Arabidopsis thaliana: one gene and its partner. The protein of the gene in region 2 interacts with the protein of the main gene of each other region in a pairwise test. Each region holds a gene or a part of one and is shown on either strand. Other genes may lie near its edges.

Region 1 (9,850 bases), on a different chromosome or scaffold from region 2:
CGGTAATGCATCTGTTCCTAGCTCCCAACAGCTGAGTTGGATCACGATCGCTAGAAATGGAAACAGAGCCAGAAGCTTCATCTTCTTCTTCTTCTTCCTCTGTTTTGTTGTTCTTGTGTGCTCTCTTCTTTCTTACACTCTTTATGGCTTGTCTTTGAGTGGGGTATTTATGGACTAATAATAATTAATCATAACGGTTTGGGAAAAAAGCATTAATCTCATTTAAGGTAGTGTTAAACACGCATACTCATGTATTAGGGATTTTTCTCGTTGTTTGTTGTATTAGTGGTTGGTTATTAGTATAAATCTGTGATGCTCTCTCTTACTCAAATCAGCTAGTGTAACAACACTTCAAACTTTCTTAAAAGGTGTTTAAGTAAGAAAAGCAAAGCAGGTAATTCCGCTAATTATCGTAAGCGTGAAACCAGCAAATGGATCCCACTTAACACGTAAGCGTAGTAACCGTACACATGCTTCACTGCTTCCCCATCGGATCGAGTTACACGTGGCATCATTCTATGTGGTTCTTACGACAGCAACCCACGCGTCTTCCGCTTCATGGATACAGGGCCCTTGCCCTTGCTCTTCATTTTATTTTATTTATGGGGTCGGCCTCTCAATTTAATTAAAAGGCCAAGACAATAATAAAGAAACTCATGTGCCGTTGCTCTTAGATTTTTCGGTTGAGTTCACGACAAAACAAAGGACACAAAAATTTATTGTGCAATCAGGAAAATGGTTTTCTTGTTAGTGAGAGAGCACTTTAGTTTTTTGCTTCTTTTGACTTACTTTCAAACAATCTTAAGACACTTTTTTTCTATCAACAGAAGAAGCATAGGCGCAATAAGTGGATCTTAACTTCCACCGACTCCACTCGACCCAACCAAACACACACAGCAATTCACTCTACTTATCCCCCGCCATAAATTACGCTTCACCTTTTTCATTTCTTTTAAAGCAAATTTAAATGCAATTGTTTAATTATAAGTCTACTACCTGTGATCATGGAATGAGATATTCAGTGGGGTTGGTTGAACAAACTCTTAAGGACAAAACAAAAGAAGAAAGAGTTCAAATTTCCAAAGGAATCAACTGATTGAGATTAAAAACAAAAGCTAGACTGAGTGGCATCGGCTAAATACAAAAAAAAAGAAGGGAAAAAGCTAACCTGAGCCGCCGAGTCATTTGCACTTTCTCATCTTCTTCAAGGCCCATTTGAAGCCCACATACTACATAGCTCGGATCTGTCCTCCATAGCCGTAGTACTTGAGAAGCCCCTCGTCTTGTCTCCAGTTCTCTTTCACTTTCACTTCCACCTTCATTTAACATCATTCACTCACGTTGTTAACTTCCTATACTTGAAAATACCATTTTATGTAATCAATCATATTCTATGCAAATTTATGCGCACCTCGAGGAAGACTTTCTTCTGAAGGAAATCTTCAATGTCGAGCCGAGCAGCCGTTGCTAGTGTTTTCAGAGCCTTTCCTTCCTACATCATTACATTGACATTCATTCAGCCAAATTATTCAGCACTTAACTTATCTTAAGTTGAGATCTTATGGCTTAAAGACAATCTTTGAGCAGAACAGCTTTTAAATCCAAATTGCAGTCTCAAGTCAATTATAGGCAATGCACTTTTTGAATGTCCACAAAATCTAACTATGGAATTTCAGACCAAGAATGCAAAATCAGAAATTACCCGTTCGGATGTTGAGGGTTATACACTTACTTTTCCTATAAGGATGATCTTCTGAGAATTTTTATCCACTACTACTTCCACTTGAATAAAATCTTTTGCAGCTGGTCTAGTTTTGTAGCTCAGCACGTTCACCTGTAGTGTTAACAATGATTGATTAATAAGGCCACGGCTTTTCACAGGACTCAAGAGAAAAGAAACCAAACTTGTCATTGTACCTGACATGCATAAGGAACTTCATTTCGGTACTGCATAAATATTTTCTCTCTAACAATCTCAGAAACAAAAAATCTCTCTGGATGCTCGCTCACAATATCCTAGAAATCAAATAGCCGTAAGACATTAGGTAAGTGAATTGTTGCATCTGAAGCACAAACCTCAGAATATTAAGCAAATTAGACTATAAGCTTTAGCTATAGCAAGGAGAGGAATTCAATACTGAAGCAGGGAATTTTCATGCATAGTACCTTTGGATAATAAGGTGGCCCGAAGGGAAGTTTGGATAATATCCACTCTTTGACATCCTCTATTCCATGTCCATACTTTGCACTTACAGGTATAACTTCATCAACATCCGTAAATTTTTCATACCACTGCAAGGAGTTGCAGCATCTATTAAGCAAAGAACATAGCAATACCATGACTCCAAATCTTGATCTCAAGTTTATAGTGAAGCATCTTCCACCACTGCAAGTTCATTCTAGAATGGTGGGATTTTAATAACAGGACAGTATTACCAAGGTTCAAGGATAGCAACGACAGCATACTCACCTCCAGTTTCTTGGCAATCTCACCAGGTTTGATCAGATCTTTCTTATTCATAACAAGCAACATGGGTGGCTTTTTCTCAAGGTCTCCCAAACCCTCTTTCAAAACTTCTTCTATCTAAGCACACAACACCAGAAATTAGGACAGGAAACTAAACTAACAAAGCATGAGAAACAAATCAAACAGAGAAGCATACATTAGTAGGCGTTTTACAAGCATCAACAAGAATTACTACGCAGTCCGCATTGATGGCAGCATCTCTGACATTCTTCATCATCATTGTATCTAACCTGTGCATCTTCTTCTCAATTACACCAGGCGTATCATAAAGTATCATCTGCAACACAAGCTTGTATCAGTCGACATCTTAATTTCTATATCAAACCAAGCAATGAACACCTGGTTCTTTTAAGAGTCAAAAATCAATGAGGCTTAGATAAACAAACCTGATATTCAGGGCTAGAACAAATACCAAGAATCCGATGCCTCGTCGTTTGAGGTTTATCTGTAACAATCGATATTTTCTGACCAATCATTTGATTCGAAAGCGTGCTTTTCCCGACGTTGGGCATCCCCACCACCGCCACATATCCTATATAACATCCGTAATCACCAAATTCAGTTTCCCAGTCGTAATAACCAAATTTCAATTTCTCAGTAAGAATAGGGTTTAGGGAGAAAACAAACAAACCGCTCCGATGATGAGTATTAGGCGTGTGTCCAAGCTCCTCCATCTCATAATCGTCGAGCAACGCCATGTTTCTGTCCGGTTTCATGCTCAGGGAGAGAAGACTGGCTTCGTCGACGATATCGATCTCCACTTGTTCTTCATCATCTTCTAATTGTGCTTGCTCAACCTCCATTTCGCTGAAGCTTCGTTGCCTAATCCATAGCTTCTTCGAGGAGGAGAGTTCCGTCCGGCCATAGCTAGTGGTACTGTTGTGCGCCTGGAGATGTGATTTGGTAACTCTCCGCCGACTATAGATACGATACGGAGAGAAATTAGGGTTTTCAACAACGGAAGTAGAGAAGAATTTGTAGCGGGAAAGAGTAGGCGAAATATGCGGAGAGACCGCCATTGTTGGACTTGGTTTTTCAAATTGATAGCTCTCACTGGTTGGTTTTTCCTCACAGGTGCTTTCTTTAGTGATTAGCGAAGGAACCAAATATGATCTTCATACGACGCCGTTTCAGAATTTGTTATTTCCACTTACACCCCTTGTTAAATATAATTCCCATTTCAACCGCCTTTATTTTTCTTTACCCAGTTACCCCCCTCGTTAAATTTAAGAACCAACATAACAAAAGCAAGAATCAGGCACGGAACTTCTGGCTAATAATAACATTGCAAGTCAATAAGCGACACAAACAGAACCAAATTGGTATGACCTTGATCGTATGAAGCTGAGTTATGTCGTCATCATGAATGTTCTATACATTCTCTAGAAAAGGTTAAAACAAAACCCATTTTCCTATTTTTATTCACAAGGCCTGAAGCTTTGATTCAACCTCATTATGAATCTTTTGGAGACAGCTGAGGTTGAGCTTCATCTGATGATAACATTCCGGGAGGAAGGTACGACCAGGCCAAGACTCCACTCCCGAGTGTGATGGTTGCAGCTATTGATCCCCAAATCCACCTCTGCCTCCTCTTTCTCTTTTGCCCGTCTCGCCTTGCCACCTCTGATATCAAAGAGAGTTGAAGCATTGAGATAAAGAAAAATAAGATAAGACATTCTTGTAAATTTAACTTGAGTTTCTTCTACCTATGGCCTCTTGGTTGCGCTGGGACATTTCCTGGTTCACAGTCTCGTAATAATGAAGACGGTCAGACAACCGGGTGATTTCAAAGTTCTTAGCTTCGAGCTCAGCTTCCATCTCCATCTCTACCTCTGTCTTGGCCAAGTCACTGCCTAGTGTGTCGGAGACAAACCTGGTGACCTCAAGTTGACAACGTAGCTCATCAGCTAGGTTCATGCTGTATTGGCTTCTGGTGGGATCAAGAGGAAGGAACATACCCACATCGGCCAACTGGTCACGGAGCCTCCGCCAATGAACTTGCATTTGCTCTAGAGTCGCCTCTGCCTGCCTCCTCCTTTCGATTTCCATTAGTAAACCCAATCTCATCTCCCTTACCTCAGATTCAATGTTGTTAGCTGAACTCTGCATTCCACTGTCAGTTGATAGTTCTGGAAGCCAAGAAACAGTAACTGAATAAATTAAAACCAGTTTCTTAGATATACCAGTGAATCATGCATGCAGATTTTCTATGTCTTTGGAAATCTGATTCATAACTATCACGAATTCAAGATGACTATAAACACAGGAATCCCAAGCCTAAAAGGCCACTTCACAACCAAAATCACATACTGATATATGCATATAACACTTAAAACTAAAGGAGAAGAGGCTCCAAGAACTGGCAAAAAGTGATGATGCTAGAAATGTCAGACATCATAAGAATTTTCTAGCTATCTCGTGGTTAAAAAAGTTAGTAGGAAGAAACAGTACCATCGCAAGCATCATAAAACTCTCCAACATGTGTAGCAAGACTGTGTGAGCTTTCAGCTCTCTCGAAATCTTCTACCTCTGTGTTACTTGTGAAGCTTACTAATTCACCTGGGTTATAGAAATTTTCAGGCTCAAGCTCCTTGTCTGCTTTTATTCTTACCGGCTCCAATAAGTAACTTTGCCATTCTAAATTACTGGTAGCATTATTACTTCCAATCCCACCATTGCTGATATCTCTTCCCGACTTCTCGTTCAAAAATGTCCCAAGAGGGGGACTGCAATCCCAAACAGGACGTTCATGGATGCCTTGGGTGTGAACACCATTGGTGTGATCCACCGCAATAGCCTCGGTGATAGGAAATGATAGGGATGTGGACTTGCTCAAGGAGGCAGTAGCCTCCACATCTACATTACCACTAATCTTTTCCTCACCAGAGGTTATCGGGTGAGAAGGCCCATCCACCTCAGAGTCCCTATTGAAAAGAACAGGCCCACGAGCTTTGTGATTGATGATATAGGGAGATGGAGGGTAGGAAGAAGGCGAATTGGGATGAGGGATTTCTTTAGTAGTGGCATATAGAGAAGGTGACATCTGAGGACGAGTGAATGTCTTTTCTTTAGGTTGCTTACTTTCATCATTCAAAATAGACGGCTTTGACTGCAGTGTGCTTGGAAATTTACTAGATAAGGACGTCCCTGAATTTAGTGATCTACCCAAAGCGGCAGCAGAAAATGTAGGCATGACTCTGCATCATTGAAGATTTCAATTAGAAATCCACCAATAGGGATACACAACAGCGAGAGAGCGTTGTTCAACTAATAAAGTAATGAACATCGAGAGAGTCGATAACGGATAAACAAAAATCCAAATCAATGTCAAGCAATTAATAACCTATACAAACAAGCTAACAATCTGAGAGTTCAATTTCGGGAAGGAGCAAACCATAGAGTGCGAGATTATCAAACTAATCATTCAACATCAAGTAGCCTAAACTAAATTTAACAGAGATTATCACGGAACCAAGACCTTAATCATCAAATCGAACAGTCAGCAGCTAGCAAAATCACTCGATAGAAATAGTTACCTCGCGACAGAGCATCAATCGGAGAAGACGAAACGAAAAGATCAACGCAGACGGAGGAAGAAGAGACGATCGATTGATGGTAGATTGATATGACATGGTGCGAAAAAAGAGCAAACAGAGATTAGATATATACTGAGGAGGAGAGAAAAAAGAGAAACCTCTTCTCCAAGGCTTTAGTCGCAACAAACTCTTAATTTAAACCTCTTCACCAAGGCTTTCATTCGCAACGACCGCGTATCACGCTGGGTTTTGGGGAATCACCGGAACGGCTGCGTTTTGATGGGGTTTTGTATGTTTAGTGACGTGGCATCTCCTGGTGTTTCGGGTAGGCTTTTGTAGTCATCAGGGGCCCCACTGTGTTTATTCGTAAATTTGTAAACCCAGTCTGATTACTGATAACAAGTAATAAACCGAGAATTTTTCTTACTATCAAACTGTAAACTTAAATTACATGGATTTGTCCACAAAGAAGCAGAATCATGGCTTATGGACGAGCTTTCTACTTTGATGTATGTATGTATTCATCCTTCTTATTCAAATAGAAAGGTATATCACAAATCGAAAATAAATATAAACAACCTCTGTGAAATCTCTTTCTCCGATCTATCTGTAATATATGGCAGGTCCATTTGAAGTGTTATCCCAAACACCTCCTTCCTTGACATACTCCAAGTACCTAGCGAATTCTGGTTTTGCAGTCGTCGTGCTCTTCTTCTTCTTCTTCCTCTTTAGACTCATTTCGAAGAAACTAAATAGAGGGTGAGCCGAACCCCTGGTTTTCTCCACCGGTTTATTCACCTTCGGGGATTGACCATGGGGATTTGTAGGAACGCTCTCCGGTTTCACTTCTAAAAGCCCTGCGCCTGCTTCTTCTTCGTCGCCGAGCTTCTTGTAGCTGCCTCGAACCTTCCTCGTGCTCAGCGCTCTAATCATTATTTCTTGTGGTTTTGATCAATTCTCTCTGGTGATATGTTTTTAAGAAAGGATAGATTTTGAAAAGGACACATCTTTTGACTTCTCTTCTCCTTATCCCAACGACTCCTTTAACTTAAACCTTATGTGACATTGCCCTTTCACCTACTACTATTCGTGGGTCAATGCTACTTTATTTTTGACTATGTCTTCTTTGGTGTTTGACTTAATTAGGACAACGAGACAGTTCCACAACAATGCTTTAGACTTTAGTGGACTTGCTCTGTTTCTTGACACAAAAACAGTAGCTCAAGTGTAGTGTAATGCTGAAAAAACAAAGCAATTCATATGAATAAGCTGTGTCCTGCTGTTTTAACCAAACCTTTATTCTTCAGTTTTCCTCTCAATTCTTCAACGACATCCCACTTCCCCATCGCTGCATAGAAATTCGAAACCAACACATAAATGCTCGCGTTCTCTGGACCCGTCTCTTCCATAAGCCTCCTTGCTACATATTCGCCTCGCGTAAGATCCATATTAAGACTACAAGCACTGAGTACCGCTACCCATATAGCACAAGGAATGCTTTGATTATCGTTCTCCATCATTCTCTCGACTAATCTCCATATCTCTTCTGTCTCACCAGCCTTGCTTAAGATATCGATGAAGCATACGTAATGCTCTGTTCCAGGAACCAACCGATACTTCTCCTTCATCATACCAAAACATTCCTTACCTTCTTTAACTAGTCCTGCGTGTGCACAAGCCGATATAACAACAAGAAATGTCACTGAATTCGGTAAAACTCCGCTTCCTTCTTCACACATTTCCCTGAAGATTTCAAGAGCTTTAACCCCATCCCCATTAACCGCATACGCATCTATCATACTCGTCCAAGAAACCACACTTTTAGATGGAATAGCTCTGAAAATAGTACGCGCTTGCACAATCTGACCGCATTTTCCATACATATCCATTAAGCCATTGCATAGCTTAGAATCTGAAACGAAACCATTACGTAAAGCGACACAGTGTATCTGTTTACCAATCCACAGATCAGAGTTATCAGAGCAGCCAGCAAGAGAGCTACTGAGCACTCTCACATTGGGTCTCTGCCTACTCATAAGCAGAAACGCTTCCTTGTAATTTCGGTTTCGAATGCAACCTGATATCAAAGAATTCAACATCACCTCGTCCGTATGAACATTCAAACTGTTATAAACCTTCATGGCTTCATTGATCAAACCTACACTCGAGTAAAAACTAATCATTGCAGTTCCTAAAACCACGAGATCGCGTCCGGTGACCACCACCATGGCATGAACTTGCTTCCCTTGCTGCAAAATCTTGAGAGAGGCACAAGTTTTAACAACAGAAGACAAAGTGAACTCACTGATTTCTACTCTTTCTCTATACATAGCTGCGAAAACGCCAAGAGCTTCTTTGCCTTTACCGTTTCTAAGGAAACCCGAAAGCAGAGCATTCCATGAGACGAGATCTTTTTCCTCAACGCTTTCGAATACCCTAACGGAATCAACCAAGTGTCCGTACTTGGAGTACATGTCAATAAGCGCAGTTTTGGATATGGTTCCTGTTTCAGCGCCTTGTTTGATCATCAAGGCGTGAACTTGGCGTCCTGTTTCTGGGTACGACAAGAGGGAACAGGCCCCGAGAACCGGAGTGAAAGTGTGCGAGCTGAGATCAGGGCTAGCCCTATGAATCTGAAGAAAGAGAGCCAAGGTGTCATTTGGGTTTCCACTGCGGAGGTGAGACGAGAGTTGAGAGTTAAGTGAGGAGAGGTCTCGTTGCGGCAATTCGTCGAACAGGTGGTCGGCATGGGTGGCAAAATTTCGGATAAAGACACACCTCAGTACCAAATTAGTGGATTTAACGGTAACGTTACCCAGACGAATAAAGCGTCCAATACGCAAACATGCGAACATGTTTTACTTGTTACCGCTACAGACGAAACTTATTGAAGCAGAGCTATCTTTTTATGGGCAAAGGTCAACCTAAATGTCTGTCTGATCAACAATTTATTAGACGACATAAAAAGGAAGAAAAGGTTACAACTTTTCTTTCTCAAGTTACAAGAGAACAAAACCCCTCACAATCTTTAACAGAGAAATGAATGCCTTTAAGCCGAAAACTTTCCCAGTGAGCACTGGCCAATGGATTTTACGCCCAAGAAAACTTTATTGGAGAAGCAGGAAATCAAGTTCTTTGTTTTTACTTTTCAAATCCAAACAAATCAAGATTCGCAAGGCGGCACAGGTTAAACGCCTCAAGCTGCTTTTGGTACATTCTCAGGGAGCGTGAGATCATCGAGTACTGAATCATATTCTGTATCGCGAGCGTTCTTCTTGTTTAGAAGCTTCTTGAACTCAGCCTCGTCCAAGTTCTTTGCGTTCTCTGTGGCGTGAGCTTGAGCTAAGTTGGAGTACTCCACAGCCGAACTGGAGAAGAAGACTCTTTCTTCTTCTGTCACCTTCCTCAGAAATTTAGCTGGGTTGCCTCCCCAAACCTGCAAGGAAAACCAGAATTGTAATTTCACCAGAGCTTAAGCGAATAACAAACGTTTGAGAAGGTCAACATATAAGAGCGTGGCTAAGAACCTCGCCAGAGGGAATTCTAGTGTTCTGCCTAACAAGAGCTCCTGAAGCAACCATGGCATGTTTTTCAACATGAGCTCCATCCAAGACAGTTGCACTTGTACCAATATAGGCCTCATCCTCGACAGTGCAGCCATGTAAAACAGCACTATGACCTGCTCCAAATTCAATTTGCTTTATCCATTACCCTGACTTTAATATTCACACTTCAATTTTATGACAGCAAATGTATTGAGAATTTACCAATGGTGACATTGTCTCCA
Region 2 (9,504 bases):
TTCAATCAGCAAATTTTGGCTACATCTCCTTCTCGTGATATGGTTCTATCAAGAATATGGGTTGATTCTTATCTATATCCGATCTATATAATATATAGCTTATATATAATGTTTGAAGATTTTTTGATGGTTTTAGTTTCGATTGAAAATGTTCCGTAGCTCAAAGAACCGGATTTGTATTTATAAATAAAAGTAGTAGATGCCCTAGAAATATATAAAGATATATATTTACATCCTCAAGATGTTTTTTTTAGAGTATATTTCGATTTTTGAGTGTTATATTTGCACAAAATATATCATGTTATTCTTCTCCATATCGTCACAATTTTAATCATGATCTTGATAAAACGACAGAAATCCCTAACTAGCTCGCCAAACTCTGTTTGTCCTGATTCTTTAGATTCTGCTAGTACGTACAGTCTTTAGTACACCTGACCTGGTCGTGAATTTCCCTCGATATTGGAGAAAGCGGATTGTGGATCATTTCTTAGTAAATTATGATCTTTTTTTTTTAAAAGTTTTTTTTTAACATGGTCGAAAATTCCCTCGATATTGGTTAAGTATGTAAACATGTTAAGTAGTTGGATATACTCTCCAAATTATTGGCATATCAGTTATATACATATAGATAATTAATGCTCATTATCGAATCGATTGTCTGTGACATCTTTATCAAGAAGTGCTTATCAGACTACATATAATTTTGTTTGTTGATGTTGTAGTTCAAATACATACATTCGTCGATGTTTCATCATTATCTTCAAATTTTGTAGACACAACTTTAACACTTATGACTTCTCATCTTATTTTTATTTTTTATTTTTCCGGATTTAAAAAGAAGTTTTATAAAACTATTTTGGTTCTAACTCTAACTGTTCTGCAAAATTTAATTAGTTGCCTGGTTGTTGCTAATAGTTAATTTCAAATATTTACTTTGTTCATTGATATATCATCATTTACGTAAAACGCAATCCTAGATTTAACTAATTAATTGAGTTATAAAGATATACATACATTTTAAGACCATCTGCATTTCACGTAAAAATGAGGGTCTTTAGTTTTAGAAAATATTATAAAAAGAGAACAGTAGTCATTTTTAGTTACAGAGGGTCTACCCAAAGACATTTGAATACTCTCTCTCTTATATGGTTCTCCCCGTGTCAACTCCTCATTTGTTTTCATATTTTAAATAAATTAAATAATTAAACTAAATAAAAAGTATTATTATTAAATTTTAAAGACACACTTACCAATAGTTAACCAATGCAAATGCTCTAATAGATCCACAAACTATGGACCATATCTATAGTAGATTCGTCTACTTCTATTTAAGCGCTAAAAGGATCACTGGATATATGAGACCCATGTTTCTTATTTTGTACGAGCAAGTAGCTAATAGCTGGATATGGATTTAGGGTTCATCTACATGATCACATCCACTAATATCTGGATATATATATAATATCATGTTATGAAAAGTAGTATGAGCATACAATCCACTTAGCAACTAGTTTGAACTACTTGATACAACCCCCAATTTCTTATGTTGCTACGTCTTTTTATATATCAACTAGGTTTAAAGTATCACTGGGTCGGTTGTAGATTTACAAGACAAAATAATCGAAATGATATTCAATACAAATATCAAATATGTTTGCGTGTACGAATAGACTAGAGTAGAAGAACATAAAGCCCATTAGGGATATCAAGATTAGAATACCTGTGCAATTAGACTTTTCGTCTCTAGGCCCAGCAATCTTAGGGGTTATGTTGAGGGTAAAGTTTTTCTCCCGAGTGAGAGAACACTAGTAAAACATTTAATTCAAGGACCTTAATTCAATTATAACCATATACTAAAAAAAACTTATTCGTAGTTTTTTCAAAAAAATTGTGCGAGTCCCACTGTCAAAGCCGCTGAGCCTGCAAAAAAGAGTTTGGTCACACGTGTGAGCTTTGCTACTGTCAAAGTCAAGGGCTTCGCTACTCTTTTGTGCTCTTCTTCTTCTTCTTTTTGGTCAAACTCTTTTTTCTTCTTATTGTTTTAGCATTTTTTAGACAAAAATAAAGTAAGAACCGAAAAGGACAAGAATTCGATCGTGTTCCATTGGTGTCATTGTCACTAATCAATCAGTTGGGAAATTTGATGAGTAATCAACTAGAGAAGCTTCTTGGTGGGAAATTCCAAATTGGATTAGATGAGACTAATCAAACTTCGCATAAACAAAACCAATGAAATGATTAAAAGATAATTAAAGCATTTAGAAGTGACAAAGAACAAAGTAGTTAAGTTGCATCCTATTCAGGGGACATTATGTCTAAAAATACCAATAAGTAAGACACTTCTTTATTACAGTTTTTGTTTTTAATAAAGATTCTTAAAACTTCTTAATTATAGTTAGGTAAACATGTTCAATCTTTAGTACAGTACTACAACTTAGAACTAAAGTGTGGTCCTCTTATTGTTAAAACTTGACATGAGCAAAGATAACATTCATTCCTGGGATGTGTTATTTTCTATGTATATCTTACTCTTCTATGTTTGATTCTAAAGAAACGGTTAAGAAACAAGAAAATAAAACACAAAGGATTCTCTTTCTTCAACAATGAAAAGCTTCCGTACCATAAGACAATGTAATCTTAACCTTAAACATATGAATAGAGTTATTTATAATCGTACATAAAGACATGTTAAAGTAGCAGTTTCTTCTCTCTCTGTATAAAATGTTTGCTTTCCTTTGTCGGTAAATGTTTGACGAAGAATGATTGAGATTCTTAGTGAACAAGCGGGTCTTGCGTGAAAAAAAACTGCAAAAATGTTTCGATATGGGGTCATTACAGATTTATTAGATATATATAAGTGTAAGAGTTTGGGATCAATGTGTTTTTACCTCAAACGATTTCCCGGAATTTTCAAATTCCAACATACTCAATGCTACTTCACAGCTTTGTGCAACAATTGGCTCAGGGTCCTTTGAGAATTCTTCTAGCAAAGCAATGCTCTGTTCATCTGAAAAGGGCCGAGCAATGTGAAGAGTAAGTAAAGACTAAAGACTAAGACAGTAGATTGTTGTAATCTCAAACTAAGCATTTTAGGGAAGATACCAGCAATAGAACCAAGCGCTTCTGCAGCCTCATGTCTAACCATTGGGTGCTCATTCACATCTCTAAGTACTTTGCTTAGAGTAGCTAAAGCAGTTTTACTTTGCAACTGACCCAAGACATAAGCAACCTAAGAAAAATTGCATCAATTACAAGGCAGCACTTATACAGATTTAAGGTTCGAGAGCAATAAAGCAAAGATTCAAGGTACAAGATTTTAACAAAAACAGACACATTCAAGTTCATGAACATAATACAGGAAAGTTGACAAACCTCGTGACGTAGAAGGGCACTACTAGCACTCAAAGAATCAACTATGGCAGAAACAGCTTCCTCTCCACCATGATTCCTTAGAGCGAACAGTGCAGCATATCTCTCATACATGCCTTTTGTTTCATCCAGGAGAACTTGCCTGTAGTTCGATGATCTTAATCAATAACGTGCTACAAAATATTAAATAATCTAGAGAATGTTGAGGTGGTCAAGAGTGGAAGAACCTGAGTTGGTGAACAGAAGAGAAAGACGCAGCTGGGCCTGCTGGGTCAACAGACATGAAAGGTGATTTCTCTGTCGTTGATGACTGGTTCTCGGCATCAACGTTACTCATGTCTTCAATCCTTTTGAGAGCTAATTCACATGTTTCCCGAACCTCCTGAGCTGGATCCGAGCTCAAGCTTTTCTTTAAAATGTTAACATTACCCGCCAAACCAATAGCTCCAAGGGCTTCTGCTGCCTGTAATAATATATTAACAGCGAATCAGTGATATGAAAGAATCAAAAAGCTTATACTGATACAGAGAAAATAAGGATCAACTTATACTCAACTCATGTCGTACTATTGGATGCAAAGACATATCATTAAGAACCGACTCAAGAGCAGGAATGGCTTCAGCATCTTGCATCTGACCCAATGCAAATGCAGCTTCATGTGCTAACAAATTAGATGAGTCTCTGGATGCTGCAGGACATGGAAAAAAAAGATAAACCAGAAGTTAAACACAAGCAGTAACACACCATATCAGCACACAAAGCTTGAAGAAGCTCTGTTCAATCATTAACTAAAAGTAAAAATGTGGAAACTTGTATGTAGTTTTAGGTGCATCAATCAAATAGCAGCTATAAAATCAAACTGCAAAGACTTTCAATTTAGCCTTATACAGAAGCTTCAAAGAAAACACAAATAAAAGAATCAGAGTTTCTACATTCATCAAGCGCCAATATCTTTCTTTCCCAAAGTAACAATTTTTTTTTGTAGAAATAGACTTTATATAAAAAAGACAAGATTTTGAGCAGCAGTGTTAAAACAAACCAAGGATTAGAGCGTTGCGAGGTCCTGGGCCTTTCAAGTTGCGAAGAGAGAAGAGAGCTCTAAATCGCTCCGAGATTGGTTGTGACTGGTCCACCAATCGCTCACAGAGAAACTTCTCCAAGTTAACCATCGATGAAACTGATCCATTAGATTCCATATTCACTAAATCAGCTTCGTCGGCGTTTGAAAAATCTGGACGACGGTGTAACAGCGCCGTCGACTAGGGTTTTTGTATACAAAAGAGAAGAGAATCTGATTCGTGAAAAAGAGAAAAAAAACGCGGGACCTATTCCGGAAATAACGAAATCTATATTTGGTCCAAAACAATTTATTGATTTTAAATTTGACCCCATAGTTTCTATTATCCATTACTTGCGTATACACGTGTTGTTGAGTGTTGATTCGCTTAAGAACGATAAACACAGAGCTTTCTGTTCTTTCGACATATCAACCGTTTCCTTCCTTAATTTGCGTTCGTTGTGAAACCATAGATCCAGGTGAATTCTGGAAAACATCTTGAAGCGAAATCGAGACATCGTTGGAGGATCAAAACGTTAATTCGATTGATCGATGAATCCTAGAAGGTTAGCTCTCCTTGAATGATTTCAAATCGCTACTTTTTCAAACACATCTTTGGTTAGAATTTGGAGGTTAAGATCTAGCGAAATCTGATGATTAGATGTGTTTTCATGAGCTCGTTAATTTGTAGATTAGGTTTCATCGGGAAGATCTGAAGGAGCAGTAGAATAGGACTGTTGCTCTGTATTCTGATAGATTTGGATCAGTTTCAAATTCATCTAATTTAGATTGAGTGGAAGATGTTACTGTTTCTTTGCTGAGGTCTAATTTTGATTTCAGGGAGCCTCGTGGTGGTAGAAGTTCTCTCTTTGATGGCATCGAAGAGGGAGGAATTAGAGCTGCTTCTTCTTACTCTCATGAGATCAATGAACATGAGAATGAGCGTGCCTTGGAGGGATTGCAAGATAGAGTCATTCTCTTAAAACGAGTAAGCCTGCCTCTGGTTCCTCTGTCATGTTCAAACTTGTGTTCAGCACTTTTCAGTAGGATTAGGAATATGAAGTAAGCCCTAAACGTAATAGGAACATACACTTGCAATTCATTTTGTACACTAATGAGTTTCTGTATCTACTACTTACTGCCCATAGGATTAGTATGGAAACCGTAACATAGTTTTATTGGTTCAACATTGTTGTTGTAGTTGGACTCTATATGCACAACTAGGTTTGAACCAGATTCTTATTTGTTTCTTTTTTCATGAAACAGCTATCTGGCGATATAAATGAAGAGGTCGATACTCATAACCGCATGCTTGACAGAATGGTATTTACCAGAATATTTGTGATACTTATATTTTATCATTTGCTCACAGACGCTATTGTTACTGAACATTTTGCAAGGTTTCTATGTAGGGCAATGATATGGATTCATCAAGGGGATTTCTCTCAGGAACCATGGACCGCTTTAAAACGGTATATCTGACTAGAAATACTCTCTCAGAACCCTAAGCCTAGCTTCATTATGTGTTGCAAAGTGTCTTTGACATGTTTGTTTTTTTGGTGTGTCTGTGTCTGTGTCTTTGATATGTTGAATCGAATCCTTGCAGGTGTTTGAGACAAAGTCAAGCCGAAGAATGCTGACGCTCGTGGCATCGTTTGTTGGTTTATTTCTAGTCATATACTATCTTACTCGGTAAAATTGGCAAACCCGGAGTATTCCTGAACATTCATCCATGATCTCATGATATTCCCAGTCTCTCTCTGTTGGCTCCTACGATCTAATTGTCACCAACCAGTGTAATGATGTATGCCTCCAGTGTTATAGTGTGCTCTAGTGCTTGGGATGAGGACACATTTCATAAAACTTATAAAAAGTTTAATATATTTGGATTTTATAGAGTGTTTTACTTCCTTTATGTATAAATAGCGACTGTTCAAATTTTGGACCTACGAAAAAATAGCATATTGATACTTTTTGCACCAGCCGGGAATCGAACCCGGGTCTGTACCGTGGCAGGGTACTATTCTACCACTAGACCACTGGTGCTTGTTGAAAAGTAGTTCGTACAAAACTAAGATATTGGATACTGTATTTTCTCATTCATGGACTAACAATGATCTCATTCATGGAACTAAAATTGCAGGAAGAATTCAAAACTCACACCTCGAAATGATGAGGACAAAACAAAGCAAATTAGTAATTCTGAAATTGAGCAACAATTGTATTAGTGAAGTAACAAACATGGCTTGTGTATGCAATTAACAACATGGAACTTGACATATCTTAATGACCCTACATAGTTATTGCAGCATCTATTCCTGAGGAAAATACAAATTGCAGTTGGAACTAAGTGTAAACACTATAACATTTGCCCTGTGGCACAACAATGGAGTAAAGAGATTGTCAGAACTCCAAAAATCTTGTGAAGAGATCAAGTCTGCACTTCATGATCAAAAGTAATCTTCGAAGCCCCCTTCCTTATCACTGTCGTAGCTCTCAGTTCCTGCAATATTATTGTTCTACAAGATGAGAAGAAGGATGATTCCATTAACAATGTATACCATGTGCAAAATGTTTATATTAAGGTGGATTTAGAGGCTAGTGTAACAAAAAGGAAATGAATTAAAAAAATTGTCCAAAAAAAGAAAAACACAAATGAATTGCAATCTTTCATGGGATTTTAGTGCTATTACCACTGACCTTTGGCTTCTGTGGTTGATAGATCCTGAACAATGACTTGCAGCTGATTCGGGTTAAAAGTCGAAAAATTGTCTGAGGAAGGAGATGGAGCAGGAAAAGTGAAATCGGAATCACTTGATGAAGCTTCAGAGTTCTCAGAGCTGTCAGCAAGATCATCACGCACAACTGGCGCTGAGGCCATTGTTGAAGCTGACATAGAAGGAGATCTCAAGATGGACTTCAGTTGCGAGAATTGGTCCGACATAGAATATAACAACCTGGAATACACTAAACAAGACTTATCATCATTAAATGTACTAGATTTATTAATTAAATTTTTTAACCAAGGAGTAAAAATTGTAGGAAGGAAGATAATCTATGGTTGTTAAAATTACGATTCAATAATACCTGTTCAAAGAGTCTTGTAACTGGTAAACTCTTCTTTCTGTTTCTTCTAATCTTTTACGTCTTCTCTCCCCAAGTTCTCGGGCTTCAGCACATTTTCTTTCGGAAATGTCAGCTCTTTGTTTCTCAACTTGCAATAAGGCCTGAAAAATACCATAAATATAAAATTTATCCTCCATGCATTTGATCAAGATGATAGCCGCAATATATTGTTCAGGATATTAGCACGCTGTTTCTAAAATCTATTCACAATGTTGGTGGATGATAGAAACATTACCTTCAGCATCTCAACTTCTGCAGTGAGGGATTCAATTTCTGTATCACGAATAGGACTCGTTATTTGACTAACAACAGAAAACGTGTTGTAAGGCTTCTCTGAACAGGTAACAAAGGACTTCTGAATTCCATCTTCTACTTGGATGGCATGTTTGGTCTTTCTTTCATGTCCTATCTCTTCATCATCACTTTGATCTGAATGCACTACAAAGGACTTCTCAATTCCATCTTCTGCTTGGATGGAATGTTTTGTCTTTCTTTTATGTCCTATCTCTTCATCATCACTTTGATCTGAATGCATTACATAGGACTTCTCAATTCCATCTTCTGCTTGGATGCAATGTTTTGTCTTTCTTTCATGTTCTATCTCTTCATCATCACTCTGATCTGAATGCCCATCTTCTGATTCGATGGAAAGTTTTGTCTTTCTTTCATGTCCCAACTCTTCATCATCACTTTGTTCTGAATGCAATACAGAGGACTTATCAAGTCCATCTTCTGATTCAATAGAAAGTTTTGCCTTTCGTCCATGTCCACTCTCTGCATCATCACTTTGCTCTGAATGCAGTACAAAGGACATATCAACTGCCTCTTCTGCTCTATTGGAAAGTTCCACCTTGCGTTCCTTTTCTGTCTCTTCTTTTCTGTCAGCCTATACATATGATTTTACATCAATCAAAACCAGATACTTTTTTCTACGTATCCCTACATGCTGAGTAATTGAAAACACTTGATACTAAAAACAAACGTGCAGGGATTGGTTTGCAATACCTGCTTTGACTGTCCCAACTGTTTTCTGGCAATTCTTCCTCTGAGATTACTTTTACAAAGAAGAGAAACTCTTTTCAGTTTCTTGTAGTCAGATATAGCACTGTAACCACGCCAATACGCCTGCAAGTTGATTAGAGTTGAACGTCATTTATAGTTCTTGAGATAGAATGATTCCATGAGAACTTGTTAAGTACGAAAGGGTAGTAATGAGAATAGAACCTGAATCACAGTTGCTGCCCTAGTGGTTAATTTATAACGGAATTCATGACGTGCAGCCATTGTGCGGACTCCACTTTGCAAGGTGAGTGCGGAAGATTTGGTCTTCCCGTAATCTTTCTTTGCAATCTGTCTACGTAAGTTTTTCTGGATTTTGATGGCAGCTTCCTCCCTTCTCATTTCCTTAGATATCTTTCGTGCAATATTTCCTAAAATATGAAAAAGAGACTTTATCAGCATTCCTAATTTCCTCTGCATATCAATGAAACCATAACGCCATTAAAAAAAAAAAAATTTAAGGCCCTCACCTCTCCAATTAGCTTGTATATTAACTGAAGCCCTCCGCATGAGAACAAATCGTTCTCTTGTCAGACGAGTTCTAACTTGCCCCTGAATCATCCTCGCTGATTCGCCGAGCACCCTTGTTCTGTGTGCATCTAACTCAGCCATCTGACCAGCTCTCAGGAAAACCTTACTTTTTCCAATCTGCAAATTAGATTTTATATGATCAACACGCACCTAGGGGAGTTATGCTATCTGAGAAACTCAAATTTCATAGAATACTGAAGATTCTACACGTATTCAACTCATGCAAAATTGGGATTCCTTTTACATTTAGTGAACTTCCTAGGAACTTTACCTGGTAACCTGTAAGCCCTTTTTTCTCCAAAATCCATTTGCATGCAACTTCTGCTTCGTACCTGATTAGTGTAAGGTAAGAAAACTGTGAT

The links.
Region 1: the proteins of BS14A (region 2) and AT5G66480 interact in a two-hybrid assay, tested with the Arabidopsis thaliana proteins (one large-scale study listed by BioGRID).

The regions. Positions count from the first base shown.
Region 1 is NC_003076.8:26,540,757-26,550,606, forward strand, and holds AT5G66480 (bacteriophage N4 adsorption B protein), read right to left. Parts: upstream 6,245-9,850; 5' UTR 6,064-6,244; intron 5,725-6,063; 5' UTR 5,721-5,724; coding exon 4,979-5,720; intron 4,657-4,978; coding exon 4,234-4,656; intron 4,151-4,233; coding exon 3,981-4,150; 3' UTR 3,785-3,980; downstream 1-3,784. Other genes in the region: MAN7 (Glycosyl hydrolase superfamily protein), read right to left, coding at 1-81; AT5G66470 (GTP-binding protein Era-like protein), read right to left, coding at 1,230-1,316, 1,412-1,492, 1,733-1,834, 1,918-2,016, 2,167-2,292, 2,471-2,584, 2,664-2,804, 2,914-3,059 and 1 more; AT5G66490 (uncharacterized protein), read right to left, coding at 6,667-6,996; AT5G66500 (Tetratricopeptide repeat (TPR)-like superfamily protein), read right to left, coding at 7,320-8,918; GAMMA CA3 (gamma carbonic anhydrase 3), read right to left, coding at 9,260-9,499, 9,591-9,742, 9,831-9,850.
Region 2 is NC_003074.8:21,539,250-21,548,753, reverse strand, and holds BS14A (BET1P/SFT1P-like protein 14A), read left to right. Parts: upstream 1-4,669; 5' UTR 4,670-4,978; coding exon 4,979-4,992; intron 4,993-5,266; coding exon 5,267-5,414; intron 5,415-5,692; coding exon 5,693-5,749; intron 5,750-5,838; coding exon 5,839-5,898; intron 5,899-6,032; coding exon 6,033-6,122; 3' UTR 6,123-6,395; downstream 6,396-9,504. Other genes in the region: LBD29 (lateral organ boundaries-domain 29), read left to right, coding at 1-38; AT3G58180 (ARM repeat superfamily protein), read right to left, coding at 2,773-2,805, 2,889-3,007, 3,103-3,229, 3,373-3,511, 3,597-3,832, 3,924-4,057, 4,409-4,565; XIJ (P-loop containing nucleoside triphosphate hydrolases superfamily protein), read right to left, coding at 6,877-6,929, 7,127-7,383, 7,514-7,653, 7,788-8,438, 8,558-8,677, 8,777-8,982, 9,082-9,259, 9,414-9,474. UniProt on the Arabidopsis thaliana protein: Required for vesicular transport from the ER to the Golgi complex. Functions as a SNARE associated with ER-derived vesicles.